Linked DNA regions of Mus musculus: region 2 is reported to be linked to region 1. Evidence: microRNA targets listed by miRTarBase, many of them from high-throughput screens and not tested one by one. Region 1 holds a microRNA gene; the other region holds the end of a gene's coding sequence.

Evidence for each region. The annotated mature microRNA mmu-miR-133a-3p reads UUUGGUCCCCUUCAACCAGCUG and lies in region 1 at 7,621-7,642, shown strand. An mRNA with a match to its seed (bases 2 to 7 or 8) in the 3' UTR can be bound and repressed. Matches are read on the target gene's strand: a 7mer-m8 pairs with bases 2 to 8, a 7mer-A1 pairs with bases 2 to 7 and ends in A, and an 8mer does both.
Region 2: the mRNA of Adcy6 is a reported target of mmu-miR-133a-3p. Seed matches in the 3' UTR shown: 7mer-m8 at 9,648-9,654.

What each region holds. Positions count from the first base shown.
Region 1 is chr2:180,390,817-180,406,287 of GRCm38, forward strand. Mir133a-2 (microRNA 133a-2) reads left to right here and starts at 7,563; the gene lies at 7,563-7,666. Mir1a-1hg (Mir1a-1 and Mir133a-2 host gene) reads left to right here. Exons shown (of 4, transcript NR_045331.1): 4 at 9,898-10,986.
Region 2 is chr15:98,582,666-98,598,136 of GRCm38, forward strand. Adcy6 (adenylate cyclase 6) reads right to left here. Exons shown (of 21, transcript NM_001368413.1): 9 at 15,433-15,458; 10 at 15,062-15,209; 11 at 14,715-14,812; 12 at 14,499-14,586; 13 at 14,229-14,345; 14 at 13,852-14,010; 15 at 13,375-13,553; 16 at 12,462-12,497; 17 at 12,248-12,377; 18 at 11,666-11,929; 19 at 10,796-11,000; 20 at 10,008-10,132; 21 at 7,313-9,810. The coding sequence ends at 9,685. It overlaps 4930415O20Rik (RIKEN cDNA 4930415O20 gene), which reads left to right. Exons shown (of 4, transcript NM_001201322.1): 2 at 2,605-2,727; 3 at 5,888-6,032; 4 at 6,747-6,923. The coding sequence ends at 6,795. Among named protein-coding and RNA genes, the nearest start is that of Adcy6, 14 kb to the right of the region's middle.

The sequences.
Region 1 (15,471 bases):
ATGCCCTACTCAATTCCAGCTCCGGCCACAGGGAGGTAAACAGCCGGTGTGCGGCCACTGAAGCTGCCAGCGGCCACGGGCACGCCACTGTCTTCCGCTAGATATGTCTGTCATACATTAAAGCTTTATTGCAGGATGTGGTGTTTAAATAAAAGCCTTAGTGTTTTGGAATTAGGTTTGACGGAGCAGTAAAACTGGAGAGTTTGCAGGGAGCGAGCCTCAGCCTCCTTGGTTATAAATCACCTTGGTGCTCTCTGCCCGCTGAGTTAAAACGAGTACCCCTGGACACCCCTCCCCTCCTCTTCTCCCCTTCCGTACATGTCTACTCCCATCCCCAAGGTGTGTGAGGACCTGTTTCTGGTGATACCTGAGAAGGTGTGTGGTTGTGATGTCTGCTGTATGGGTTTTCACAGGACTCCAAACCATTATGCTATGTGGTTGGCCAAGTCAGTCTTCTATGGTGTCTTAGAATTTTCACATGAAGGAGAGGTGAGGCAGGCTGGGTTGGGACAGGGATCCCCACATAGGCTTTCCTAGTCTGGGTACCACCCAGACATGTAGCCAAAGGATTCTAAGAGGTAAAGGAGCCCAGATAAGGCCCCTGGGGAGCAAAGAGGACATGTCACCACCTGGAACAGGTTGGGGACTCAGAAGCCGTGAGAAGGCATGTGCTCCCTTTATTGAGTTCACTGGAATAGGGAGGCACTGATTGGTGCTCTTCGACTTCCAGATGTGCATGTACAGGAGTCACAGGTCCTGCAGTCTGGCGGGGGAGCAATAGGGTCAAGCATCATGGTAGCAAGCTTATTGTTCCATACTATGGTTTATACCTGATACTTAGGACTGGGCAGTCTGCAGATTGGATTAAGCCACATGAGTGTCTAAGTGAGAGATTATGTGTGCATGTGTAGTTATCAATTATCTTCTTCCTCCTTGTCCTCCTTGTCCTCCTCCTCCTCCTCTTCTCCTCCACCTCCTCCTCTTCTTTTCTTCTTCTTCTTTTTCTTCTTCTTCTTCTTTTATTCTTCTTCTTCTTTTTCTTCCTCTTCCTCTTCCTCCTCCTCTTCCTCCTCCTCTTCCTCCTCCTCTTCCTCCTCCTCTTCCTCCTCCTCCTCTTCCACTTCTTCTTCTTCTTCTTCTTCTTCTTCTTCTTCTTCTTCTTCTTCTTCTTCTTCTTCTTCTTCTTCTTCTTCTTCTTCTTCTTCTTCTTTGGCCAAGTGAATTGTGCCAGCCTCTTTAAAGAGGGGTTCTGACATTGACTCCAGCTAAATAAATAATGTCGTACCTCGAGGGCGATAAAGCATTTTATGGCATAGGTTCTTCAGACTGTGTGCTGGGCTCCTCAGCAATCTCATTTAGAACTGTTGACTTCATGTGAAGAGAAGCATCGAAGAATAAACTATTAGGTGTGGTTAGGTTGGCTGCAGGATGGCTATTTTGTCTGCCATAATCCAAGTCACAGTTAACATTGTTAGAGCTGCATCTTACCCCAACACCAAAATGTTGTAACTTTATAAAAGGAAGGAACCTGAGTGATATTCAGGGCCAGGGCAACCGGGCACAATGACGAAGATGCTATCGAGGAGGAGGGAGGGATGTGCGTACAATTGCGTTAATCGCTGCCACCTTAGCAGAATGGGTAGCCAGCCTTCTGTGAGGCTTTGTGCTGACTCAGCAGCCATGCACTTTGGATTGCAGGTCTCACTCTGCAGTACAGTGCTGTTCCCTGCTCCATGGCCAGGTCCAGGGCACCCTCCTTGAGGTTGGGCTGAGGTTGACTTGAGTGTGGTGTGGACCAATAGAGGTAGGGTGTAGGGTGAGGCTGGCTTTATAAAGAACCCCAGTTTTGTTCACTGTCCTTACCTGGCCACCAACCTCAGCCCCAGTGTCCTGGGTGAATCACACTTGGAAAGGGGGCAGGCATGGCTATTAGGCAGCTAGGGAAGCAAAGGGGCAGTACAGACAGTTCTCAGATGTTCTTCTTCCTGGGCTCAGAACCTGGCCAGCTACAGTTGGATTTGGAAGGTTCTTTAAGGAGGTTGCTTGGTGTCCGGGGAGGGAAGTGTTCTTTGCACTTCCAGTTCTCCCGGGCCGGCTGTGACCCTGGGAAGATTGGAGCTGCTGAGCGTGTGGGAGGGGGAGCAGCTACAGCAGCTGGAGTGGTGCAGGCTGCTGCAGAGCTGCTGCAGAATAGCCGCAGCTGCAGGCACATGCAGGGCTGCGTGTCTCAAGGGCAGAGATCTCCGGATCTGCAGGCCGGGTGGGAAGGGACGAAGGCGGTGGCACATGGGCCTCCCAGGCCTTCTCTGTCCACCTGCAGGGAGGGCACTGAAGAAGCTTTAGAGTCAAAGTGATGGGTTTGAGGTTGTGGGCTCTTCCCTGGCCAAGAGTGTCCCCTACAAAGTGATTTAAAGTCTAGGGTCTCTTTCCCTGAGGTCAAACCAGGGGCTGGGCTAAGAATAGTGCTTCCTCACTGGTGCTGGGCAGATGACGTGTGGGCAGGTGCATGTGCACAGGGAGGATAGATTCAGGATAAACCGGACATTGAACCAGAGTATTTTTAACTGCAAGAAGGGGAGAGGGCAGCTGTCCTGGAACCTGTCATGGGGGTTCTATGGGGACACTGTGAAGTTGAAGGACACCGGGGACAGATGTGCCACCTGGACCCTATCCTCCTGGCAGCCCCATGAGCCCTCAATCATGCCCAGATATGGCCACAGGGCCGTGTGTGTCTCCCCACTCTTGCCCATGTCATGGCTGGTATAAATAACCTGCATTCTCAGCTGTCCTGTTGGAGACGGCTGGACTTGGGTGACTTGGGGCTGCAGAGGCCCAGGAGTGCTCCCCACCTCCCATCAGCAGCTGTGACCCGAGTGTGGCTCAGAGCTCTGTTTTCTATGTTTCTCCTCCTTGTGGGCCCCTCCTAGGCTGTTGAGTCCAGGTGAGATCTGGCTGCTTCCTCTCAGCCCTTCTCAAGGGCACAGTGCGGTTTTCGCTCACTGAAGAAGGGCAGAAGAGAAAGAGTCCCAGATCTTGGAGCTGGTGTAGGGGACGCCCTGGTCTTATCACTGCAGGCTGAGTACTGTGGCAGGCTTAAGTCGCTGTAAGGGTGTCCTGCACACTCTGTTTTGAGATCCGCCAAGACCTCACGTTTGAGGTTCCCTTTTCTGATCTTGTCATTGCTCACTTTTGTCTTAGCAAATAAATTTCTAAGAGTAGGGTTCACATCACAAGACATCCTTGTGTAAGGGATAAAATGTTCATCTGGTACCCTCAAAGGCAGGTTATACTCTCATGTCTGAAGACAGTACCCTGTCCTGCCATGCCTCTGCATCCTGGGAGACCTCCCCCAAGCCATAGGGAGACGAAGAATGGGATAGAGGTGAGAGGAATAGCACACACTGTCATGCATTACCCAGGCCTTCCATGGTGTCACATGGAACACCTCTGCTGCTTCGTCCAACAGCATATCTGAACTCCAGGTTCTAAGCTCTGGTAGCTCAGGGTCTATTTTTTCAGGAGATGAGGTACAGTATGTGTATGGGGCCCACCTTCCCTATCCACTGCAGGACCTTTAACCAGACTCTGTGTTGACAAGCCACTTTTTTTCTTGTCTCTGGACACATCAGTCCCTCAGAACAGAAATTCTGCCTGCTGACCTCCATGGAGTTCTTATCTGCAACTTTTCCCTTAAAATAGAATCAGCGATTAGTAGGGTCCTAACTTTGAGATAACACACACACACACACACACACACACACACACACACACACACACACACAAACACACACTCCCACATACTACACATGCACACCACACACACACACACACACACACACACACACACACACACACACACACACCATCTGTGTTTTAATTTTTGCAACGAACAGCAACACAATCGTGTGTCCCGTCCCTCCCCTGCCTCCTCTGCTTGCCCCCTGTTCCATGGGTCTATTTCAGGTGGAATTTATCTCCAGGAAGGGCCTCATCAATTTGCCATGCTCCTTTGTTGACAAGTTTATTAAAAACTCAGGCAACTCTGGTATTAAACTTTTATCAGTGTTGAGAAAAGATAAATTTTTTTGAACAGACAGAAACGTTATGGATTTGGGCTGAATGAGGCTCGGTGGTGCTTTGGCTGAGTCAGCACTGCAGATACAAAGAAATGGTGCTGTTTGGGGGTGAATGCTCCTTTGGCTTTTTCTGGAGATTGTCCCATGGGACTTGATACTCTCAAACAGAACTTCCAGAAAGTTCCTGAGCAGCAGCCCTGGCCAGGGCCGCTAGTACCCACTGGGCTTCCTGCAATTCTTTGCTCTCTATTTTAATAATGAGCCACTATGTGAAGCTAGATATTAATTTTGTGGCGAATCTGCTTGCTAGTGGGCAATGTCACTATGTAGAGAAATACTAGGTTATTGGTGCTTACATTTTACATGCCCCACAGAAAGAAAACAGAAAACATCAAGTGGGAGTTGGTGTAGCGGCTAGCTACACATGTGACTAGGTTCAGGTTGTCTTTGAGCAGGAGTATTTAGTATTATGACCTCTGTGTCCCTGGAGGTGGCTGTGTATTTTCAGCTGCTGTTCCTGACGTCCTGAGATGAGGCTGAGAGAAACCCTCCCACTGTCCTTGTTGGCCATATAGCCAGGGGTCACCTGTGGAGCTATGACAGGCATGGAATAACAGGACACATAGGGCTGGCCATCAGACAAAAGGTCCAGTACTTACTGCCTTCAACACTTTTCATGTTGGGAAACGGATCCCCCAAGAGGCCCAGGAACCCCACAGTTTCCTCTAGTGTGTAGTGTTTTACTCCAGAGTCTGAGGTCATTCTGAGTCTCAAAGGTCAGGCCCGGGGACAGACAGCTGGGAGAGCTTGCTATAGCGTCTGACATCCTGGACTGCTCTGCCATCTCCAAGCAGGGCCCAGCAGGGGTCTTGGACCCCTGGCAGATGCAGGATGATGCAAATGCTTCCTGGTGAGGCAGCATCTTTGCACAGCATCACGAGTTCATGGAACTTCAAGGGGTGAGAGCGAGGTGAGCCATGTGCCAGGGACTGCCGGCATCGACTGTGTGTCTGAGAGTGTTCCCTGCTCTGTCCTTATCTCCATCACTCTATGCTCCAATTATAACTAATTGAGTGTGTACTGCATTTTCACGGCGTCTAATTTTTCCATTGATTTTCACCAGGGCTGCTGGTGCTTTCAGCATCGAATGCTCATGTCTAGTATCCATCGCTGCTTGAAAATGCTGAGTGTACCTCTCCCTCGAAGGATGGCTCCATCAGCAGATGTTTTAAAACATTTTAAAAACTGTTTTGTCTGTAAAATGCAAAACAAAACAAGCCCCCAACAACAACAACAGCAAAACAAACAAGCAAACAAAACCCACCCCAACAACAGTAGTACCCACAGTCCCATTCTGTTCACTTTGAAAATCTGGTAAAGACAGGATTCCCAAAGAAGCCATGCCCACAGGCTCCAGACCAACCCTCAGCAGATACTGTGTGTGCCAGCCACATTGGGTATCTCTCTGCTAGGCCTGGCACCATGGCTCTAAGTTGGCCCTTCAGGGCTACCATGACCCCACAGGTTGGTTTGCCTTCTAGCATGGTCAGGGGCACACTGTGGTAGAGTTGTTCTTTGCTACAATGAAGTCAGCCTCTCATGTCTTGTGTCCGAGGGAGCAGGGTGGCTGAACAAAGATGACCGTGAAGAAGAGGGCAGAACAGCCTGGGATATAACAGTTTTTAGGTGAAGTAAGTACCCATGCCGAGGAGGAGGTGGGTCTTATGGAGAAGTCATGGGCCCTTGAGGTTTTGGAGCTGTGTGTAATGTGAGCATCTTTTTGTTGTTCAGAAAGGAAATAAAACAACACCCACAGGGAGTTCAGGGAGGTCCGTATGGGGGAAATTCCTCCAATCTGGTGACATATGGACAGAAATAAGAACCTTCACAGGGACCCAAGGGGAGTGCCAGCTCTATCATCCTGTGACCCCTCTCCTTGGCAGAATGAAATTGTGCCCAAGGCTTCGGCAAATGAAGTTGCACTGGAGCAGGACTTGGGCTTGACACATTGGGGCAAAGGTAGCTGCAGTCCTCTTCCTCGGTCCCCAACATGGTAGCTAAGGGCCCAGGACCAAGACTCAGGGCTAATTCTACCTCTTGTCAAATCTTCCACTCCAGTAACTATATTGACAGCATAGACAAAGGGTTGGATGCAGCCAGCATCAAGAATCATTTTCATTAAGGGCCGGTGAGGCAGGCTGGGAGCCTGGTGCCTGCCCTGTGTAGGAGCAAGGAGAGGAGAGCCATGTGCTGAGCCAGAGGCTGGTGGCTGGGAGATCCTCTGTGTCTGTGTGGGTTGGAAGGCAGAGCCTTTCCTGCAACTCCAGGGGGACATCAAGACATCCTTAGGAGGATCTTTCTGCATCAGGGCTGCTTGGAAAGACCACTGTGAACACAGGCTGCAGTGGGCCCTGTGGGGGCTGAGGATGTGGGGTTACCCAATGGTTCTCAGAGGGGTGGTATTCACTGAGGGTAGACACACACACACACACACACACACACACACACACACACACGCACACGCACACGCGCACACACACACACACACACACACACACACGCACACACACACACACACAGAGAGAGACAGACAGACAGACAGACACAGAGACACACAGAGACAGAGACATACACAGAGACAGACACAAACACAGAGACTGAGAGACAGACACAGAGAGAAAAAGAGAGACAGAGAGAGACAGAGACAGAGAGAGACAGAGAGAGGGATTGGAGACCATGTCCCTGTGCGGCTGAGGACACTTTCACCTCACACCCTTGCTCCAGTTTTCTGAAGGGAACGTGGACCTTCTGAATCATCAAGAGCTGTGAAGTGAGAGGCTTAGGGAGGCCAGAGAATGGGGGTATGGACACTGGGCCTTTTCTGTCCCATGTCACTTCTTATGCTACATAAACCAGTCCATACTGGAATATTCCATCTTCTGCCTTCCCAGAGCCATGTGTGGTGTCTGATATACCCTTGCCCCCAAGGTCACTACAAGCCAGAGCTGTTTGCCCAGTCACAGGGCCCACGGCTCGCTAAGAGAAACAGCCGTACCTCGGCACAGTGAGATAAGAGAACATCTGGATGATGCAGGCAGAGTCAGGGTGTAAAGTGTGAAGTCTTCAAGCCTCGATGTGAGTCCATGGGTCAGAGGCTCAATGGTCTTGGATATATTCCTGAAAGGAGTGACCAGACAGGACTCTGGACAACGCTGGTGTATATGTGGTATATATGTATATAGCAAGTAAGAGGTGGAGGTTCGGGGCGTAAGGACCAAGAACTGCTTTTCCCCTTCCCAGTAATGTCCTGGGGGTGCCATTTTGGGGCACATAGAGTGTCTGAATGTACATGTGACCCCTCACACACACCCTGAAGACCTCCAAAGCCCTTGGGTTTGCATGGGTTCTCAGAGCAGGGAGAGCCTGGGACAGGACAGCAGCCTGACAGAACCATCTTCTTCCTGGAGTCTCTCCTCCCAGTGGATCAGAAGCCAAATGCTTTGCTGAAGCTGGTAAAATGGAACCAAATCAGCTGTTGGATGGATTTGGTCCCCTTCAACCAGCTGTAGCTGCGCATTGATCACGCCGCATGGCCCAGCCAGAGGACACAGCCACAGCAAGGACTCTTCAAAGGCTGCTGCAGGGAGGCCTCCGCAATGGTCAGATCCAAGAAAGCCAGGTCACGTGCGCCACCAGTGGCCCTGGGTTGGGATCCAGGCTCCCCTTGTCTCCTCAACAGGCAAGTAGAGGAGGAAGCTGAAACCTCCCTAAGCTGTGACTGACCCAGTCCAGGTCACTTGCCAGGTGACTGTGAAAAATAAATGTTCTTTTCACACCAGAGCTTTGCGTAAAAACTGAGTGCTGGGACTCAGGCAGGTGGGGCTGGGGCACAAGAAACCTCTGATTTCCCCTTAAGTAAGTTCCATGCTAAAGGTGCTGCTCTAGGCCCTGGAAGGTAGCGTCCACCTTTGGCTGATGACCTGAGGGACAATGTGAGAATGTATATCTTGTCACTGGGGAGGCTGAGCTGGTAGCCACTCTCCAGAACACATGGTGGCACTCGATTGGCCGCTGAGAACCCTGCAAGGTGCCACCGATCCAGAGCCCTGGCAGAGTCCTGTGGCACAGAGGCACATGTGAGGGTTGCTCTCATGGGAAGCCAGACCACCAGGTGTGTCAGCAGTTAGCTGAGGCAGTGCAGTCAACTTTGCCTCTGCTTGGACCCTTATATACAATGCTTCTTAGGCAGGGTCCTGCACAAGGCTGGGGTTGCTGGGCGCTCACAGTGACTGTCTAGTGGCCTCTAAATAATGTGCTTGCCAGGAGTGAACTCCACCTCCTACCCAGAGTGGCAGGGCCAGGGTTGCTTGGCTTAGGGGCCATGGCTGTCAGCCTGAGTTAGTTGAGGTGTGAGGACAGAGGCCTGAGAGAAGGAGAAAAATATGGCCACACTGACAGAAGCTGTTGAGCCCAGCCCTGCCTGAGGATCAGCACTCAGTCTCACTATCAAGCTCAATAAACATTCCCGTCTCCTCTCTACCCTGATTCTGCACAGAGCTGGCATCTCTCTTCACATGTAAGCTTGTCCTCCAGAAGGACAGGAAACTAGAGGCTGTCGGAGGGCAAGGCAGGAAATGATAGGCAGTCTTTACTGGGGTCTTGCATCCCTGAGTCCTTTATACCTGGTAGTGGGGTTGGCCGCTTTCCTGTGACCTGCCTTCATCTGAAACCCCCAGGAATGTGCTGGTAGAATGTGCTGTCCTTGTAGGATCTTTTGCAAATGTCTACCCAGTGAGTTGAGTCCAGTCCTGCCCCAGCGGGGAGACTGGGAAAATCTCCACCCCCAAACTGGTAGGATCTGGTAGGAAAACAGGTCAGCCTTGGTCTGCCCTGCCTCCAATCTCATCCAAGAGCAGAGAGTAGAATAGTTTTCACTGTCCTGTCAAATATCCCGCCTGGGTGAGAACTGGGCTGCACCCACCATCATGAACACTGGGCCTCATTCATTTCAAACAAGTACTGAGACACGCCCACCATAAGCACTAGCCCATACTTCCATGGGTACTAGACCACACCCACTACAAGTGCTGGGCCACGTGCATGCTAGGCCACACAGTTGATCAGCACTGAACTTCATCTAACATAAGCTCTGGGCCACACCCACCACGAGCACTGGAACCAGGCCAAGAGCTGCCCAGACTGGATACAGTGTGAACATGCTGTTCTTTGTCCAATCAGTCTAAGCCTTGTTTAACATAGGACCATCATGCCCACTCCTTCCTAGACAGCCAATCTAGATTTGGGCCAAATATTTCCTGATAGGGTACATCTCCAAGATGCGTACATCCTGGGAATAGGGGCCCAGCCTAGAAAAAGGCATATCTGGAGTCTAGGGACAGATACGTGGACAGTGCCCTGTCTTGTCTCATCCACTTGGCACCCACAGTGCCCTGTGAGTTCAGGGCAAGTGCATATGCAAACACCATCAGCCAAGCCAGGCAGGACCCACACCAGGCAAGCATCCTGTGCTCAGAGAGGTGAGACACCCCTCGGGGTCACAGTCAGTCCTGGCCAGCTCAGAGTGGATTGGAATGCCTGATGTCTAACCTATGATCTGGGTCTCCCATGTGGGAGGAGAGACCCTGGCTATTTATGCTTAGGGGGCAGCTGTTTTCACTGTTTGTTAAGCAAATATCTAGCCAGGTGGGAGACACTGGAGCATCTCACCATAGGGACTGTTGGAAAGAGTTCAGACAGGAAGGGAGCCCCATACTGGGCAGCGGCATTCCTTACACAAAGCTCTATCTTTTCTTCTCCCCAGGGAGGGACGGCAGTGTGGGTCCTAGGAGAGCATCCAAGTAGCCAGTGCCATGGGTAACAGGGATCACAACTAGATGGAGTGAAGACCCCCTTGGACAGAGAGTCGACCCCGATCCCAATCTTGTGCTCTTGCCCCACCTGGGTTATGAGAAGCTCTGCTCATCTCTGACCAAGATTCTCAAGTTTATGAATGGACCCAAACAACATTGTCCTCCCAAGGTCCTCAAGTTTATGAACGAACCCAAATATCATTGTCCTGCCATCCATAATTGCTCCTATCCTATGTCCCTTGAATGGCACTCTTCAAGCCTTGTTGGCCGAGACTTTCCTGGTGTTCCTATGGCCTGACTGTGGGCTGACTGAAGTCATTCTGATTTCTGAAAGTTCAAGATGACAACAGGGTCTGGCTTCCTGCAATTCTTCATGGTCCTTTGGGGAGTCTACCCCCACTTCATACTCTTTGATCCTTGTCTGTCTTACCACTTGTCTTAGTTAGGGTTTTTCTGCTGTGAACAGACACCATGACCAAGGCAACTTTTATAAGCACCATGTTTAACTGGGGCTGGCTTACAGGATTAGAGGTTCAGTTCATTATTGTCAAGGCAGGAACATGGCAGTGTCCAGGCAGGCATGGTGCAGGAGGAGCTGAGAGTTCTACATCTTGTTCCAAAGGGAAACAGAAGATTGGCATCCAGGGAGCTAGGATGACGGTCTTAAAGCCCACGCCCATAATGACACACCTCTTCCAACAAGGCCACACTTCCTAATAGTGGCTCTAAAGACCACTATTAAAGACTCCCTTGGGCCAAGCATATTCAAACTATCATACCACCTCTGCCCCAGGTGTCCTCAGCTTCCTGATCATGACCCTTGCAAGTGACTACTGTATCCTGGATCATGGAGTCACATGTCATGGCCTCTCAGATCCCCTCCTTCATCCTGGTCCTTGAGATGAGTTTGTAGAAGATACCAGAAGGTAAATGCTGAGAGCAGAGGTCTGAGAGGTTGTGGCTGGATAGATGACAGCCTGGTTAGGTCTAGAAGGTGGGACCCTGGAGCTCTGAATGCAACTAAAGATTTGAACCCACTCACATGAGATGAAGTGTTTCCAACTCCTGCTTCCATCCTGACCCGAACACAGCAACTCTTATCTTCCTACGGCATCAGCTTGGGTCCATTTTCCTCATGGACCTCGGCAAATGTGCTCGTGTCTCAGCCGTACCCTATGGGCTGCACAGCTGGAGTCTGGGTCCTACCTGAAGTGATTCTTTCCTATAAGTTGGCCTCTAGCTTCCTGTTAGTCACATCTGGGGAGAGAAAGGACAAATGGCCTTAAAGGCAGTCTGTCTCTGATGGCACAAAGGCCAGTCACTGATCACAACTCTGAGCAGGAGGGCAGTAACTGAAGTGAAGTCCACATCTCTCCCAGGGAGGCTCCAGGTGGTGTGCTCAGTGAGCAGGACATGTACCCCGCTGTTCAAGCCATGTCAGAGGACTCTGGAGGTGCTAGTACAGCCAGGGCACCTGACCAGGCTGCAGGCATCTTTATCCACAGTTGGTTCCACCACCCTCTGTTCCTTATCAGTGTGTTCTGGGAAGCCCCTCTGCTGTTAGAGATGCAAAATAGCAATGATAATCACATTGAGTGCTGGTTACACCCCTCCTGCTTCTCCTCATCCCCACTCCATGCTAGCGCAGTCAGGGAAATGCACTTGCCTGCACACGTTGCACACACACACACACACACACACACACACACATACACACAACACACACACATGCAGACACACACACACACAGACACGTTCTCACATGCCATAGATTCATATGAGCACAGTCAGACATGTGTACACTTCTTACACACATATCCAGACACACAAGTGAATGCACACATCACATACATGCATATCCTACACATTCTCACATGTACACACAGTCTCAGTCCTGTATCGGTGCACATCCACACACATGTGCACGTGCATGCACAGAGGTGGATGCCCTTGCTAACATGCCCAATGAATGTTCTTCCAAGTGCATGGATGTATACACTCTCACAAACACACACACACAGACATGCTTGTGTACAGATGCACAAGCAGGTGAACTTGCATGCATACTCACAGGCACACTTCTGCATATACTCAGCATGTCTGCACGCCATACATAGTGGGACTAAGGGAAGACAGGACTCTGTTAGCAGAGGCTATCTCAGGGTGGGAGGAGACTGAGTGTGCACTGGTGGACTGGGAAAACTGAGGGGAGCCGGTGAAGGGACCAAGGAGAGAGAAGGGTAGGCCATGACGAAGTGGGCTGGGTGCTGAGGGATTGAGCTTCCTGTTCAGTGCTTCCCCAGAGACCCAGACCCGCTCCTGATGCTCCCTTACACCATGCCACTTGCTTCCCTTTGCCCTGCCACCACGGTGGGGCTCCCCTGCAGCCCCCATGGCTCTTGAGCATGAGGGTCCTGTACCAGCCTGTAACAGGAGAAGTGTGCGAAAGCAAGTGCAGCGGGGTCACACTCACCGCTGTGCAAGTACAGTGAGGCCACACTCACTGTTCTACAAGTGCGGCAGGGCTCACACTCACTGTTACACAATTGAAGTGGGGGTCATACTCACTGCTGTACAAGTGCAGCAGGGGTCACACTCACTGCTACACAAGTGCAGCAGAGGTCACATTCACTGGTGTGCAAGTGTAGCAGGGTCACACTCAATGCTATAGAAAGGGAACATCTGCCTTCCTCTCTTCCTCCCCAGGGCAGGTAAACAGATTGCATCTGATTTGAGTTCCAAGTTACAATAGGCCGGGGTTGTTTGGGGGTCACATTTTGTGGTGGATGATCCTCTTCCCTGGGGATGGGGGGAGGTGTGTGATTGGCAGGAGTCCCACTGGGAGAAACAGCTGAAGAAATAGTCAGTATGAACTTTTACACCAAGAGGAAAGTCTTGGGGGCTTCAGACCCTGCCATCATGATTTCAGGTCTCCCTTTTGTGCAAAGAGAGAGTGAGGAAGCACGTGGAAGGGTGGGACTTTAGGGACTTTGGTCATGGGGCGTTGGGAAGGGTGGCCCCTGGTAGGAGGCACTGTGGGAGGCATGACCTGTGAGGATGCGGGGAACGGCAGAACTTTGGGAAGTGGTGTATTCGAGGGCTAAGTAGGCAGCTTGTCCTTTCGTCTTTTTGTGTGAGGTGCAAGCCGCCTGGCTGAATGGGAGTCAAAAGTCATTTATTCTACTGAGCATCTGTCAGTGCCAGTGAACCAGGAGTGAGGGGTGTGCAGATGGGTCGGACCCAAACTGGCTTCATGCATTTCTCATCCAGCCAGCCAGCACTCAGCCTACACTACCCTGCCTCTAAGTCTACTTCACATTTTTTCCCTTCCTGGGAATCCTAGGGAGGCCCCCTTTAATCTCTCTAGTGTATTGGCCGGAAGACTGAGGCATGGTGATGTCTCACATGAGACTTCCTGCTAGAGACTGGCTATGGGATGCTGGACCTGCTCGGGGTTCCAATGATTAGGCCTAGGACAAAGACTGAGCACTGTGCACGACTTTACAGAAACATCTTCTTTGGAGTGGTGTGTGTGTGTGTGTGTGTGTGTGTGTGTGAGTGCATATGTCTGTCTGTCTGTGTGTGTCCCTGTGTTTGCGTCTGTCTGTGTCTGTGTGTAGGGTGTGTTTGCGTGTGGTGTCTGTCTGTATGTGTGTGTGCGCACACAGAGGCAAGAAGAGGACATCAGGGTTTTTGTTGTTTGTTTGTTTTCTCAAGACAGGGCTTCTCTGTAGTAGACCAGGCTGGCCTGAAATTCAGAGTCACCTGCTCTGCTTCCCTTGGGTTTAAGGTGTACACTACCACACCCAGCTAGAAGGCTTCCTCTTTTTCTCTTTGTTTTATTGACTTGAGACACAGTCTACTTAGTGAGCTAGAGGCTAGCCTGGGCTACACAAGACCCTGTCTCAAAAACAAAACTAAATTAAAAACAAAACAGACGGGATAAGCCTACACACAAATGCACTGTTTAATCGGATCTTCCGAGGCAAAGAAACTTAAACTACTGTGGAAATTGCCGAATTCTGTCTCTTCACCCAGAATTCTCCATGGGCCTGTCATTCCCAGCACTCCTCCATTCAAGAGTGACCCCATCCAGTCCTTCATAGCCCCCACCCGTGTCTCCCTGAGCACTGTGACTGAATGCTTTGTCTCTCTTTTTAAAATGACCGAGCTGGGTGCTATCTCTGTTCACCTTTAGTCCCAGCACACAGGGAGGCCAAGGCAGGTGGATGTGAGTTCAAGGCCAGGCTAGTCTACAGAATGAGTTTCAAGACAGCCAGGGTTACACAGAGAAACACTGTCTCGAAAACAAAAAGAAACAAACAACAACAAACAAAACATGAAAACAAAACAAAACAAAAAACAAAACTCAATTAAACAAAAAAACAAAAACTTCCAAGTGTTTCTAATCCATAACCCATCCCTTCTCTCCAGACAGTGCAGACCAGACCATATGACCCATGTTCCCATAGTGGGCTACTGGTTGAGGCCCTGTACTACAGCCCACCATATGCCTCTGTTCCTAGGCTCCCCCACCATGATAATTGGACCAGAGATCATCTCAACTTGTAACCCTGCAGCAAGGCCAGGCCACTGTAGTGTCTCTCCACCAGGAGGTACAGTTTCAAGCTCTTCTGGGGTAGTTGCTCACACCCAGAGCCATCATGCTTTAGGGTTGCAAAAACTGATTTTCTAAGTCTACAAGGCCATCTTTGCTGATGAGCAGGGGTGTTTTCATGGAAAGTCTTCCCTCAGCTGTGACTCTGCCCCCAGATGCACGGCTTAAAGCAAGAAGACAAAGGGTTTTTCAGGAAGTTTGCTTTCCAGAGACCTTCCAGGGAGAGAAGTATGTCTCATTCAATATCACAATGGTTTTAGGTTCTTCTCTGGCTGTGACTGGGGGGCACTGAGAAGTCAGCAGTTACTCTTCCAGAAACACAGAAAGCAAAAGGGCGGAGGGGGGTGGAACTTTGCAGAGATGGTGATCAAGTGTCTGAGAAAGAAGCCTGCACAAAAGATGGCAGGAAGAGCCCAGGATGCTCTCCCATGAACATAGTCACGAGGATCGCAGATGAAGGCACAGACAGGAAGACAGCAAGATCATTACTCCTGTGCACCCACAGAGATAAACTGGCCTTTGTCCAGGAGTCAGAGACATGAAACTCCATGTTGGGAGCCCAAGGGTTGGAAAGCTTGCAGGATCTTCACTCCTGTCAGATCTCAAGCAGCCCCTGTGTTCACATCAGTGCGACTTCTGGTATTGTGTCAAGGACCATGGGACCACACACTGTGTCCAGTGATCCAAACCTGAAGTCTGCGAGTGAAGTGACACCCCACCCCCCACCCCCAAGCACTGCTATGGCAAAGTCCATAGGAATTGAACTGCCCTGACATTTAGATTGGCCACATTCGGGTAAAAATGGAAGGAGAGTTTAACTCATGAGCAGTACTGGTGGGAACACGTCAAAAGAGCCCTTCAGAGTCCTCCATGAAACACAGTGGGGACAAAGATGTCAAGCCATAGG
Region 2 (15,471 bases), not on the chromosome of region 1:
AGAGAACATCATCTGGTTGCATCTTAAGAAACAGTCTGATGCCTGGAGACCAGAAGGTGCTCTTGCTGTCACCTGCATTTAAAAACCATAATTTACTCTCAGCCCAGATTCCCAACACCCACCAGAAACATGCCCACGATTACTCCTCAATTCACAACAATTTGTCCAAGAACGTATTGCTACTTTTACTTTGCCCGAGGCTGAACAACCAGGCTCAAATGGTAGCATTGCCAGAAGCAACCCCTCATTGCTGGCACCCACGATGAAGTGCAGACCAGCCCCTGCTGCAGGCCAGCATCCCAGAACAGCGCTGTAGCAGAGCTATCAGAATGGCCAGCCCCTCTTACATCTGCAGCTTCACAGAGGTGACATCTAAACTGTTCCTCACTCCAGTGGGGTCCTCTGTCCTAGGATGTTAAAGATTTCATTTGGAGGACAACATGGAGAGGCGAGGAGAGAGATGCTGAGGGAGTGAGGCAGAGCTAGGGAGAGGAGGAAAAGAGTCAGGGATTGGGAAAGAACACCACAGAAGCAACATCGAGGCGATGAGTCAGCCATCTTCAACAGTTTCCAGAGAGAAGGGTAAATACTGATCTTGTCCCTGACAAGCACTAATAAGAAGGAAAAAATAAAAATCTGAGGGAGTGGGTCAGAGCCACGGCTCCCGGAGAACAGAACAGAGACACGGAGAAAGGTGAAAAGCTGCGCCTTATTAGGGGCCTGGCTACGGGAGAAGAGGTCAGGGCCCGGCTTCTTTACAGCTTGGGTGACAAACTGTGTGGAACAGCCAAAAGAAATCTTGGAACAACCCTAGACAATGCCCTTCTTTTCACCCCTGACCAAGCCATGCTGTCCTGCATCTTAAAAGTTGTCACATCCACTCCAGAGCAGACACTGTTGCACTGGACATTACGGTGAGCACTGCTGGCCCCAGCCACTCAGTCCTGCCGGCTGCTGGGAGAAACAGGATGTAATGTTGTTTGGTGCCCATCACTGGTAAAAGCTCTGAATGGACACAGCTTCCTTGCAAAACCATCTTTAGCTCAAAATCTAGACCACGAGGCTGGAGAGATGGCTCAGCGGTTAAGAGCACTGACTGCTCTTCCAGAGGTCCTGAGTTCAATTCCCAGCAATCACATGGTGCCTCACAGCCACCTATAATGGAATCTGATGCCCTTTTCTGGTGTGTCAGAAGACAGCTACAGTGTAGTTACATATAATAATAAATAAATCTTTAAAAATAAAATAAAATAGAATGAATGAATGAATGAATGAATAAACAAACAAACAAATAAATAAATAAATAAATAAATCTTAAAAAAAAACAAAAACAAAAAACAAAACTAGTCCACAGCTTAAATTTCCACACTGGGGAGGCAAAGGCAAGCAGATCTCTGTGAGTTCAAGACCAGCCTGATCTATACAAGTTTCAACACAGCCAGGGCTACAGTGAAATAGTGTCCCAAATATAAATAAACAAACAAACAAACAAATAAATAAATAAAATCTAGATGTGTTTGATGTAAGCTTAGCCTGCTTCCTTTGCTTTGAGAGGTCCAGTGAAGGAGAGCTGGTCTTCTTTGTGAAGCACAAGATCTACTTTATAAGAGATAATTCCAAAACACAACCACCTTGTACCCACTGTGAAACCTTTCTGGGTCCCCCAACCCCCCACCCCTGAAGCTGGTCCCTCTCCACATCACCACATCACCCAGCATTCTAGATTCCAATCAATCAACAGAGTGTTCTCTCTCTCTCTCTCTCTCTCTCTCTCTCTCTCTCTCTCTCTCTCCCCTCTCCCTTCTCCCCCCTCTCTCCTCTCCCCTCTCTCTCCTCTCCCCCTCCCCCCTCTCTCCTCTACCCCCCCTCTCCTCTCCCCCCTCTCTCCTCTCTCCCCTCCCCTCTCTCTTCTCCCCCCCTCCCCTCTCCCCCCTCTCTCCTCTCCCCCCCTCTCCTCTCCCCCCTCTCTCCTCTCCCCCCTCCCCTCTCTCCTCTCCCCTCTCTCTCCTCTCCCCTCTCCCTCCCCTCTCTCCTCTCCCCCTCTCCTCTCCCCTCTCCCCCTCTCTCCTCTCCCCTCTCCCTCCCCTCTCTCCTCTCCCCCCCTCTCCTCTCCCCTCTCCTCCCTCTCTCCTATCTCTCTCCTTTCCCCTCTCCTTCTCTCCCTCTCCCTCTCACAGCTCTCATCCTGCTGCCTGAAGCACCTTCCTAATTCTCCCCTAGCCCCCGATTGCTCATCTTCCAGGACTTAGCAGCCTGACTTCCCCTTTCAGACCCATTTGTTCTATGCCAGTGTCAGGCTTGGGAAAGTCTATGCCTGTTTGCACCTGCATTGGTCCTAACTATCTATCCAGTCTCCTGGGTCCAGTGGAAAGCCATTCAAAATCTGGGAGTCAGAGAAGAGTGGAGGGTTTCTTGTGAACCCAAAGTTCTTCCTCCCTCGCCTCTATCACAGGCCAGAGGATTTAATTCCTGGGATACTGGAACTGAATGCCAGAGCGAGCTAGGGAAGGTCCCTATGTGCCTAGTTGGCACAGCAACCAGGAAAAATCAGAGAATAAAGTAGCCTCATTTGCCAAGTATTCAAAATGGATCTTCTCATTTCAGACCAGAAGGATGAAGTGCCCACAAGGCTTCCCCCGATTATCTCAGAAGATGGTAATTATTCTGTGCACCAGAACAGCCATGAGAGGTACCAGGAAGCTGTGCGAAAGGTGTTGTTAAAAACGTGTAAGTACCTCGGAGTGGGAAACAAGGAATGAGTCCAAGATGGTAAAGAGGGGTTAGGATGTCACAGGCTCGGTGATGGGGAGAGGGGGGGTGCTGCTGTGTTTTCTAAGGCTCCCAGAACTGTGAGGATCACAGCACAGAGCTGGAACAGGAAAGAACATACGAGGTGTTTTTGTCTGCTGCACCCGCTGAGGAGGAGGAGAGCCAGCACCTGCTTTGTAATTTGAACTGAGCCCAAACTCCAAACAAGTTGGGTGACCTTGGTGAAGTTCCTTCAGCCATTTAACCTCTCCCAGACACTTGCAAACAGGAGCTCTTCGGCTGCATTCAGAAAAGCTTGTAGGGCAGACTCTCGATGCATACGGTGTGGCGGTGTGGCATAGGGATCTTCAAGGAACTGTGTTCTCTACAGAAAGCTGCTCCTACCCTGGCAGTGGTGGCCTGCTCCTTTAATCCCAGGACTCAGGCAGTGGTGGCCTGCTCAGAACTCAGAACTCAGAACTTTAACCCAGAACTCAGACACAGGTGGGTCTCTGAGTTCGAGCGAGGCCGGCCTAGTATACAGAGTGAGTTCTAGGATGGCTAAGGCGTCACAGGGAAACCCAGTCTCAAAACAAACAAATGAAACAAACAAGCAAAGAGGAAGGGGAGGGGAGGGGAAGGAGGGGAAGGGAAGGGCGCCATTTCTGGGGCTGGAGAGAGAGAGAGATGGCTCAGAGGTTAAGAGGCCTTACTGCTGCTGCTCTTCCACAGTACCCGAGTTCTGTTCCCAGCACCCATGTGACAGTTCACTGCCTGAAACACCAACCCCAGGGGATCTGATACTCTTTTCCTCCACAGACACCCATAACACAGTAAAAGCAACAGGCGCCACATATGCATACACAAATAAAAGAGAACGCGTCTCCTTTAACAAACTCCAACTTTGCTTTATCAAAAAAGGCCAGCCCCGCCGGGGCGTGGTGGCACACGCCTTTAATCCCAGCACTTGGGAGGCAGAGGCAGGTGGAGTTCTGAGTTTGACGGCAGCCTGGTCTACAGAGTGAGTTCCAGGACAGCCAGGGCTACACAGAGAAACCCTGTCTTGGAAAAAAAACCAAAAAAAAAAAAAAAAAAAAAAAAAAAAAAAGAAAGAAAGAAAGAAAGAAAGAAAGAAAGAAAGAAAGAAAGAAAAAAAGAAAAACCAAACAAAAACAGAAGAAGAAGAGGGCATCAGATCCCATTAAAGATGGTTGTGAGCCTCCATGTGGTTGCTGGGAATTGAACCTCTATAAGAGCAGTCAGTGTTCTTAACCACTGAGCCATCTCTCCAGCCATATATACATATACACACACACACATATGTATGTATATATGTACATACATGTGTGTGTATATATACATGTGTGTACATATACACACATGTATGTGCATATACACACATGTATATATGTATATATGCACACCTGTATGTATATGTGTGTATGTGTATATATACACACATGTATGTATATATGTACACACATGTATGTATATACACACACATACACATGTATGTATATATATGTGTATATACACCTACACATAATTTTCAGATTGACTTTCACTACATTGCTCAGGCTTAAACTTGTGGTCTGCCTGTTTCAGTCTTCCAAGTAACTGAGATTACAGGCCTCCATAGGTCAGGCCTAAACTAAACTAAAAACTTTTAGAGATCAAAACAGGCAAATATAAGAAAGAGGGCATTTAATTTATTTCTAACAGAAAAAAAAATTAAAGCTTATTAATTAATGGGAAAACAGCTAGGTAAAATGTAACATTTAGTCAAAGGATTAAGAATTTTAAAAAATTCTCAAGATTACAGAGAAAACCAGAAAATATTAGACCATAATTTGATCTTTAAAATATGAAATTTTGCAAGGCCCAGTGGCCCACCCTTTAATCTCCTGGCACTTGGGAAGCAGAGGCAAAACTCCCTATGAGTTTGAGGCCAGCCTGGTCTACATAGTAAGTTCCAGGACAGCCAGGGACATGCAAAGGGGACCCTGTCTCAAACAACAAAAATATATTAATTGACAACATGAGATTATGAAAACCAAAGCAATAGAGGAAGGCAGTCAACATTAAACCTCTGGCTTCCACACACACGCACACAGGAATGAGAGCATGTGCACATGCACACGCAAGCACGCACATGCACACGTGCGCGCGCGCACACACACACACACACACACACACACACACACACACACACACCTTAGTCAGTAAGGTGCTTACACTGCAAGCAGAAGGACCTGAGCTTGATCCTTGGGCTTGGAAGTACACACTCATAACTCTAGAGCCGCAGAGGGGACAGGTGTATCTCTGACGCTGGTTGACTCTGCAACCAACTTGGCCTAATCATGGAGCCCCTGGTCCTAGTGACAGACTTTTCTTGACGGCTCCTCGGGAACCTTTGGCTTCCGTGTATACCTGAATATACACAAGCCTGTATGTAGGTACACTTTCACACACACAAGTACCTTATATAATATTTTGAGCAGCAGGTGCTTGACGATAGCATCTGCACGTGGTTTCTCAAAGTGGGTGGGGTCATTTTTTTTTCCGTTTCAGGGAACTCCTCAGAATGAGCAGATTACGCGTTACTTCAGACAGAAGGGGAACAGTGAGTGAGGGCGATTGAGAAAAGATATTGAGGGAGAAGATAGAGACTTGACGGGCTGGGGGCTGGGGGGACACCTAGGGGGTCCCACCGCTCAGAGGAGACAGAGAAGAGAGATGGGGGGAGGACTGTGGAGCAAAGTGACTGGAGAAGGGCAGTGACCGGGATGTAAAGTGAATAAGTAAAAAAAATTTTTTTTTAATATAATAAAAAATATATTGAATCAATACTCCATTTTGTACACTTCCCAAGTGGGTTTCCACCTGTTTTCCCACAAGTCTTAGAGATGGGCTTACTTAGTACCAGGAAAATCCAAGACTAAACCATGTGACCATGAAGGGTGTGAGATGGTGGAACCCAGAAGTGACCTAGGGTGTGTCAACCACATACCCAGGAGCCTTCCGCACCTGGTCACCTTCCATACCTGGTTACAACAACTTCCTGGACCGTGCTTTTGATCCCAAGACAGAAAAACAAAAGACTCTGGAGGAAATGAACACCTGCCTTTCTTCCCAAAAGTCCCCAATCAGGTCTTCAGAGTCCCTGTGACTGATGCTCAGAACTTCAGCTTCTGGCGGTCCAACATCCCAGGCGTGCGTCCAGAGAAAGCCATTCCTTGGATCAAGACTCCACACCATTGTCTCATTAAAAGCCCAATGACCAGGTGAGGTCTTGGCATCATCTGATGCTGAGGAGGGTCAGGGTGGGAGATCAGCAAAAACTCTCTCCCCACAGTGAACCCGGAGTCTGTTTCAGCTCCATTTAAGTGTCAAGCACCTTTAGTTCCAGCATTGGGGAGGCAAAAGCAAGTGGATCTCTGTGGTCTGTGAGTTCAGAGCCAGTCTGGTTTACAGAGTTCCAGGAGAGCCAGAGCTCAAAAAAGTGTGTGTGTGTGGATGTCAGAGTATAGAAGAGGTTTGAGCCTTATCAAGGAAAGTGGGCCTCAGACCCTGGGGCAGTGTGGTCTCTACATGGTGTAGCTGGATCTGTCTGCTTTGCTTTATGGGTGACACTTTGAATAGGCACAGAATCGATGTCTCTAGCATTCCTGCGGGGTCCTGAGGGTGTTTCCACCCCAACCAGCATCCATTGACAGTAGTCCCTCTCCATCATGCGTGCCCACATGCCCAGAGGCAGTCACAAAGGTCTTTTTTTGGTTTTTGTTTTTGTTCTTTTCTGAGACAGGGTAACCCTGGCTGTCCTGGAACTCACTCTGTAGACCAGGCTGGCCTCGAACTCAGAAATCTGCCTGCCTCTGCCTCCCAAGTACTGGGATTAAATGTGTGTGCCACCACACCCGGCAGTCACAAAGATCTTGTATATCCCTTTCCCTTTATCCTGGCGTGGCTCAATCTGAGACAGTTTCTCTCTTTTTCAGATTTGTGGACCATTCTCATCTCAATGACAAAACCTTCAGTCTTTACTGAGGAGCGCATGCTTGCAGGACAGATGAAAACTGGAAGGGAGGGCGAGGAGGGGGTGAAGATGGCCAAGCCATGAAAGAAGTGGGGAGAGGGGGGAAGAGTGCAGAATAAACAAATTGAACTAAAAGGCACTTTTGCATCCTGGGTGTGAGGAGGCAAGGGAGTTATCCCAAGGCCATGAGTCCTGTGTGAGATTCCTCATGAAGCTAGATCTTGGTGTGAGAGAAGTGAAGGGCTATAATGGCAACACCAGAGGTCTAGACCTAATGCACGGCAGGGGTCAGAGCAAACACCTGGGGTGAGACATTTGCCCTCAGGATGCTGAAAGGCCTAGAGCAGTCATGCTGTCTGAGGAGGCTGCAGCTTTATCCTGACAGGCACAAAACCACAGGAAGCTGTTAGATCACAGATGAGAGAGGCCCAGAGACTCCTGGGAGAGGAGCTTGCTTGCTTTACCAGGGTTTGTCACTTTCTGACCCCCAACCCTGCACCCAAACAGCTGCAGAGAACAGGGCTTTTCTTTTTTTTTTTTTTATACAAAGAGTTTGATTTTATTGATATTTAAATATATTAAATATTTCACTGAAATACATGGTACGTCACCCTCCCCCACTCCGACAGTGGTTACATTATAAAACCAGAGCCCATTGCCTCCCGTGCCCTGACTTCCTCCCCAAATGGTGAGGAGAGTGGCTACGGTAACTCAGAGAGGGACATGACTGGCTGGCACTGTGGTACGGGGAGCCAGGGTGTGGACAAGCCCCTCCCACCTGGCAAGAAGCAGACCCAAAGCCAAGGTCTCCCTGCTTTGGCTTATATACCTCACACCTGCCCCAATGGCGTCTAGTAGTCCCTTCCTATCCAAGGCTAGGATATGGCTCGGGGAGACAGAGGAAATTTTCTGCCTGGACCAGCTGATCTTCCTCTCCTCTGCCTTGGCTAATCAAGCGCCCAGTGGTCCACCGATTGGTACATGGAGATTTCCAGGAAAGCAGTACCAAACCAGAACCCAGGCCTCTGCAGAGAATGGGTGGCAGAAGCTTGAGGAAGGGCCAAAGTACAGCCTGCCCCTTCCGCACCTCCTGAAACTCTCCTCTGCCTTTCCTGCCCACGTCTAAGATCATCAGTCGACATGGAGGCGTAATGCCTCTGGCTTAACTAGATGCAGACAGAGAAACCAAGGCACCAGCTAACTCAGACCAGAGTCAGGGAGGCTGCAAGGGTCAGAGGCAGGCAAGGGCAGGCGAGGACAGAGTACAACCCTTGCAGGCTTCGTGAAGATTGGGAGCCGGGGCTAGAGTCTAGCCATGGTAGATTCAGGCCGAAGGCTTGGGGCAGCCCAGTTCCAAGTTCCTAGGTTCCCATCCCCTAGTACCAACATCGGGGTCCTCAGAGAGGGATCCCACACTACCCCAGTCAGAAAGCACACCATGCCCCCAAGAGACAAGCCCAGGAACCCAGGAAATGCCTGCACCTCTACCCACAAACCTCCAACAGTTCAAGTTCCAAGGAACACTAGAGATTAAGCAGGTGCTTGGGTCCCTGCCCTAGGCAGGGGGACAGTCATAGTGCAGATATGTGGCCCCCAAATGGCACTTAGGGATTTGGCACAAAAAAGGACTCCTCTCCCCAGACCGTTATCATTTTACTACCAAACACCACCCAACCTCCTGTGCAACCTGGGTATTACTCTCCATCCCTTGGCACAGGAAACTTGGCCTTAACGCCAGAAGACAGAGGCCCACGGGAGAGAGGCAGTCCCCGGTGAAGAGCTGAGGAACTGGAGCATGAGGACACATGGAGACCTCAAAGACAGACAGACAGACAGACAGACACACATACACACACAACACACAGGCCCACACAATTACACAAACACACAGGACCTCCCTAGTGCCAGACTTAGGAGGCCAGGTTTGGGGTCAGGTCATCTTTTTTGGAACCCTGACCCTTTTGCTATTTGGCAATACAAGGGATAGAGATGTTCCATGGCCCCTGCCAGCAGGCAGCAAGTGAGCATTCGAGCACACTGAGACCTCAGGTCAGTGTGGCGGCCTCCTCCTCCTCCTCCTCCTCCTCCTTCTCCTCCTCCTCCTCCCTGGCTGCCTGCTGCATTCTTTGGCACCTGCAGGTCACCATCCACCATCCAGTTCCTGTTCTTCGGATGACCTCACACACACAGGCTTGCTCTCTGGCTGGTCATTTTCACAGTACCAGTAAAGCCAGATGCCCCTTTCCCAGGATCATGCAGGAACTGGGGCTAAATCTTCACTGTCAGAGGTCCCTTTGTTCCCCTTTGGGGACAGATCACGGGACTAGGATTTGGCAAATGGAAACATTCCCCTGAAATATGGTCAGTCAGAGCTAGGTCCCATAGAACCTCCTTCTTCTGCCTTGTGCCTAAGAAGGAGAATTGGCTGGTTCTGAGAGTGCCCAAGACCCGTGCTGCAGACACAGGCAAGCAAAGGCAAGTGTTCTTCATGCCTGCCACAGTCTTTGTACAAAAAGTAGTCCCAGGAAAAATAGGGAAAGAAAGGACCCAGCCCTGAGCCTGTTGCCCAGACAGGGAAACAGTAGGCATAGAGAGTTGCCATTTAACTCTCAAACAGGAGGCTCCCAGGCCTCTGCGCTTTCTCATCTGCATCCAAACAAACGAAGACCAGCCTTACTCCAATTAAGAAAGTCCCTCGGATAATCCTCTCGGCGTCCCCTCCATCGCCATTCTGAAGGCAGACGAACACAGTCCAAGCGCAGCCGCTGGGGTGTTCCCTTTTGCTGTCAGCAAGATCCGGAGGCTCAGTGCCCCCCTGTCACAGCTCCACCCAGCGAGCACAAAGTCCCACTCAATGCCCACCTTGGTCCCTTCGGTTGAATCTCAGCTGCTGCACTCTGCTAACTGCTGGGGCCCCCGTTGAGGAAGTAGGTGGTCATCTCCCCCTTTCCCTTCACCTTGACCACCCCTCGACACTCCAGCTGGTAGCCCTTGGCAGCTAGAACCTGGTATAGGTCCGTAGTCACCTAGGGAAGTGGAAGGGGAGCTTGTTTAGCCTGGGATCCTCCATGCATTGATAAAAAGCCCAGGAGTTCTCTACTGGATACTCTCCTCTCTCGCCAACCCCTACCCCAACAGCCACGAGAAAGGCTCCCAGCCCCCGTCCTGTACAGAGACCACTGAAAGCCCTCAACACCCGTCTAGCTTGGCGACATCCCCTCACCTGTATTCGGTCAGGAACTCCAGTGCTGTCCATACGACTGGAAACATTCACGGTATTTCCCCAGATGTCATACTGTGGCTTTCGGGCCCCAATGACGCCTGCTACAACCGGACCCATGTTCAACCCTGAAGTAGAGACAGTAGCAAGAGACTGAGGCTAGGATGTCCCAGGGTCACTCCAGACAGTCATCTCCCCCTTGCACCCTGAGAAGAACCCAAAGGAAAAAAATATCAAAGGGGACAATGATTCCTTCGGCATGGGGCTGGCCGTGATGGCTGAGGTGGCTCCCTCGAGTCCAGACAACAGTTGCAGCTCATCCCACTGAAGGCTTCTCCAGGCATTGGTTGCTCACGCTGCTGCCCCATCTTACAAACAAGTGAGTACGGCCGTGGGGAGTCAAGCCAGACTCTGGACGTATGTTATTTAATCACTGCCTTCCACCAGAGCATTTGAGCCTGACCCCACATCTCACACTGACCACACACTTTAGATTTAGTCAAACGTGCCATTAGTACTTGAACTTTTCACTGAAGTCATTTAATCTCTGAGAACCCCACATCCCTTATCTTAGAGAGGGGCCTTGATGTACAACTTAGAATGTACTGGACACGTCTAGGGCAAAGACCCCCAGCACACGGAAGACTCAAGTGAACCGTCTTGGTCCTCAGTATTAAACTTGACAGGGAGGTGGGAGGTAGAAACCCCACAGGAGTCCTGACGGAGAACAACCCACCCCTCCACACACCCTCCACACATGACTTCACCCACAAACGGCCCCAGACCCTCACCGATCTTCATCTGGAAATTGTTGAAAGAGTGTTCATTGATGTGTTTCATCTGCTCCATGAGCCGCATGGCATAGTCAGCCAGCGCCGTGATGTGTGAGCGGCCGACCTGGTCATAGGTGCTGGCATTTAGCCCAGAGGCGGCCATGTAGGTGCTACCGATGGTCTTGATCTTCTCCAACTGCCGGAATCTCTCCTCACTGATGATCTGAATGGCACAGAGGAGGGGGGTGTTCCGGGGAGGTGGGGGTGGGGGATCGGTCAAGCCAGACCCAGGTCTTTCCAAAGCTCACTCCTTGTCATCCCCCTCCTCCTCCCGAGAGCCCCATTGCTTTAGTGGGTGAACTCTCTCCCTTCCGATGGCAATCCACAGTGTGGTTCTGAGAAACACTCTGACGTGGTTTGGGGAAACCATGTCCCAGTGTGTGTGTGTGTGTGTGTGTGTGTGTATGTGTATGTGTGTGTGTGTGTGTGTGTGTGTATGTGTGTGTGACAGCCCGTCCCTGACCCAAGTGTCCAGGACACTCCCTCACTTGTTGTTCCCGTTTTCGTTCTTTGAGAGACAATCTTGCTTGCTTGGTCTCGCATAGATTTGACTACTGTCTTCCTCTTCAGTGACATCACCTGATACCTCTCCTGTCATCCCTGTCCTAGAGTCTCCTGTCCTCTTCTGCTCCTCAGCAAGGATGACCCTGCCCCACTGAGGCTGACCCCCATGCTGTCCCTGACTGGGCGAGGGACACTCACCCGGTCTTATCCCTGGCTTTTCCATCCAAAAGCCTGCTCCACTTCCCTGGTCCCCAGACTGCCCCTGTTCTGCCAGTACCAGCCAATGAGCCCCCGTTCTGCCAGTACCAGCCAATGAGCAAGCACCTCGTCAAAGTCTGCGATGATCTCATTGAGCAGCCGCAGGCACTCCACGCCCTCGTTGTTTGCCTCGAGCTCCACGTAGAACTCCGAGAAATTGGCGATGGAGGCAAACATGACAGCCACACATTCACACGACTGGTAGTACAGCTCATCGTTGCGGCGTTCCCGGGCCAGGAAGTGGGCGGCCACGTCCTTGGGAAGAATGTTATGCAGCAACCTCCGGTTGTATGCCTGTAGCTCCTCCATCTCCTCCTTCTCCCCTGTTGCCTGTGGGCACCACATCCATCAGCCATTGCCCAACACTCACAGAGGCTGGGCGCAGTGGCCGAGGCCAGAAGATGGGCATCACAGGGAACCACGTGAAGGAAGAAAAGCACAGGCAGAGGAGGCCTAAATGACAGGCAAAGGGGTGAAGGGGGCAGGTACAGGATGGGACAGGAGACAGGAGATGGAGACACGAGGCATAGAACCAGGGTGGGCTTGGGCAGACTCAGCCTTAGCCACTTAGCAAGAGGTGCATTTCTGGCTTGGCCCAGGCTCTGCCCCCAGAAGCTTCTCCCTCCCATAAAGGTCCATCCAAGTCACCTGTAACTTCCACAGGAAGTCCAGGCGGGCAGTCGATTCCACCTGTTGTGCATGCAGATACAGTGCCAGGGCAAACACCAGCAGAATCACGGGGGTCATATATTTGAGCGCTACCCTCCCCACAGCTGGGCTGAAAATAATCAAGAGACAAGCTTGGTGCCTGAAGGAGATCTCTACCAGCCTCATTCTTCGCTGCCTCAGGGCCCCCACTTACCAGTCCAGCCCATCAAAGGTCTCATTGGAGGAAGCCCTGGCAGGAAGATACAAAAGTCATTGGAGGCTGTCTGCTGGGAGGGATACTGGAGGGGAGACAGAGACTACACCGCTGAGCCCAGTCATGACTCAAGCCTGTGGGTAAAGCCTTTGCTCACATAAATTAGCTCAATATGAGCAAAGGTTAAACCGACTAGGAGCTCCTCCCTTAGCAGCTAAATGGTCCAGGATAAGTCGGTTATAACTCTCTAAGCCTCAGTTTCCTTGTCAGTGAAAGGATTCAACTCCAGGTACACTTCTGGAAGGTTTAGCATGTGCTTGCGGCGACATAAGGCTTTGGGACTGTGTGTCACTGTAACAGACGGCCTGAGATGCTGACACAGTGATAAGAGAACTCAGGCTTAGACAGGTCAGCTCGCCTGTCCGAAGCTTACAAAGCTAAGGAGAAGCAGACCAAGGACTCAAACCCAGCAGACTCTTAATTCTTCCTACCTCAAGCTACGGCCACATGTCCATCCCAAAGGGCCTAAGAACACAGGGTAGGACCCTCAGAAAACAGAAGCGGGCAGAGCTCTCTGAGTTCCAGGCCAGCCTGTTTTACAGAGTGAGTTCCAGGACACCCAGGGTTGTTACCCAGTAAAAAAATAAAATAAAATAAAATAACCCAGTGGGTAGAGGAGGCACAGAACAAATGTAGGGCCTTTTTTTTTAAAAGCTATCCTAAAGAGACAGGAATTTGTCACAACTGGAAATTCTTTGGGGTAACTACCTGAGGCCACATTCCAGGAACTAGCCCTTCCCTTCCCTTTCTCCCACAAGTGAGAGTTGTACATTCCAAAGGCCTGGGTACCAGAGACTCTGCCCAGAAGGATCAGGGAGGTCCCCGGAGACTGAGGGACTGTGGATTAGCTTACAAGCCATGGACGCCAAGCAGTAGATCATAGTTGTCAAAGATGGCGGCCGGGGGACCCAGCAAAAGCAGCACCAAGTAGGTGAACCCCAAGATGAAGGTCATGGCCAGCTTGCCGATGCTGCTGATGTGTAGGAAGACAGAGCTGGCTAGAAGACTCAGCAGCACGTTCCCGACGAAGTACTGGGGGGAGGGGGGACAGCAGAGGCAGCGTTGGGTGACAGCGAAGACCAGGGCATGCAGAGCAGGAAGAGCCCTACTCCCCTGCCTGACTATCCCCCCCTTCCACCACCTTCAGGCCCCAGCTCCCTGTACAATCCATGCCCAGCTTCCCGGGGGTGGGGTGGGGGTGGGGCGGTTGCCCCTAGAGTCGGGGAATACTTTGAGTTCCCGGCTCCCTGGTGCCCATCACTAGACCTGGCTCAGAGGGGCCGATAACTGTGTTAGAACAACCCCCTCTGCCTGAACACTGCTCGGACACCTCAGGGAAGCTGCAGGTGGGTGCGGTGCCCTCACACAGGGGAGCATCCAGTCCCAGAGAGTAATTGAGCTGTTGTAGGTGGCAGGCGGTGACATCCGCTGGTGTTAAGTTCAGCATCCGGGCCGCGCAGGTCCTTATTGGGGTGTGATTACAGGTAAACTGCAAAGGTTGGGTGCATATCAGGAAAGGTTCACGAGGGCTGAACCCAGAGGTACTTTTTAGACTAAAATCCTCAGGCATGATAAAAGAGGAAACAAAGACTAAGAACAAGAGTTACCCCCACCCACAGGGACAGCGGCAGGCTACCCAAAGGCTGGAAATACTCAGAAGGGCTGCAGTTCTGAGAAAGTGCCTGGCACAGGGCCTGGGAGATTTACCATGTTGGCGATGGCAGAGATGAACACAAGCAGAACCGAGAAGATTCCAACCGCGGTGCTGTGCACCCGTGAGCGGACAATATTGCGGGACAGGCGTTGCAGGGCCTTGGGGAAGAACTGCCACAGCGAGAGTCGGAGGAGTTAGAAACTGCATCAGCGAAGGAAGACCAGCCAAGAACAGGGTCTAACAAGACACATGGCCACCCTCTCTCCCTGTCCCATGGGAACCCGATCCTTCACCGACAGTCTCAGGGAAGTCCCCCTACTTACAGAACCGCAGGAGCACACGGCACAGATCAGCACAGTGACCAGCAACAGCAGGAAGATAGCGGCATAAATCCCGAGTATCAGGGTGGAGCTGGAGCAGGGTAAGGTGGGGGGTAGGGTGGAATATGAGTAAAACTGGGGTGTCCCGGTCCTAGCCCCAGAACAGAGCTGAGGCCAGCAGTTTGCATGGGTGTTAGGGGCATTAACGGATGGACTCACTATGGGAACACAAGGAGCTGGATAAAACAGATGAAGCAAAAAACCAGGAGGGCACAGGCGACGTAGGCTCCGAAGCGAGGATCTACTTTCCGTGAATACTGAGGGAAGAAAGGAGACCGAGCTGGGTGCTGGGTCCTGCCCTGGCAGGCATGTTATGGACAGCGAAGAAGAGGGTAATACAAGGGCCTTGGGAGGAACACATGACCCAATTTATATTAATTTCCATCTTAGGCTGTAGTCTCTTCCCGTTCCTGACATGTCCTCCTGTCCCTCAGTGTGTGTCCAGTCTCCCAGCCAGGCCCTCCCTCCTCCCAGCCCTCTCTTTTTTTGCCCTGTATCCCCCAAACCTTCTTCTCAAGATCCTCTCTCTGGAAGGTGAGCAGGAACCGGCGCACATGGTCCTTACGCAGTTGGTCGATGCTTCGGGCATCGATGGCTCGGCCCAGGAACTCATCCACCTCATCTTCAGGGTTCAGAGCATCTTGGGCACCCCGGCTGATAATGGGATGCAGGTTTTACCAGGTGCATGAATAACACCACAGGACAAGCAATGACAAGGGCAGGGCTCAGGCCACAGCAAGGGAAGGCTATGCGAGCTGTGTGTGTGGTACCTGCTCCCACATCTTACTAGAAATGGGAGGTCTCAGTTCTCACAGCCCATCCCAGGTTGCAAATGCCTTCTCCCTCCCTTCCTGACCCGTCCCATAGGCCGACTTACTTGTCTTTGCTAGAATCATCAATGCCCTGGAGAAAGAAA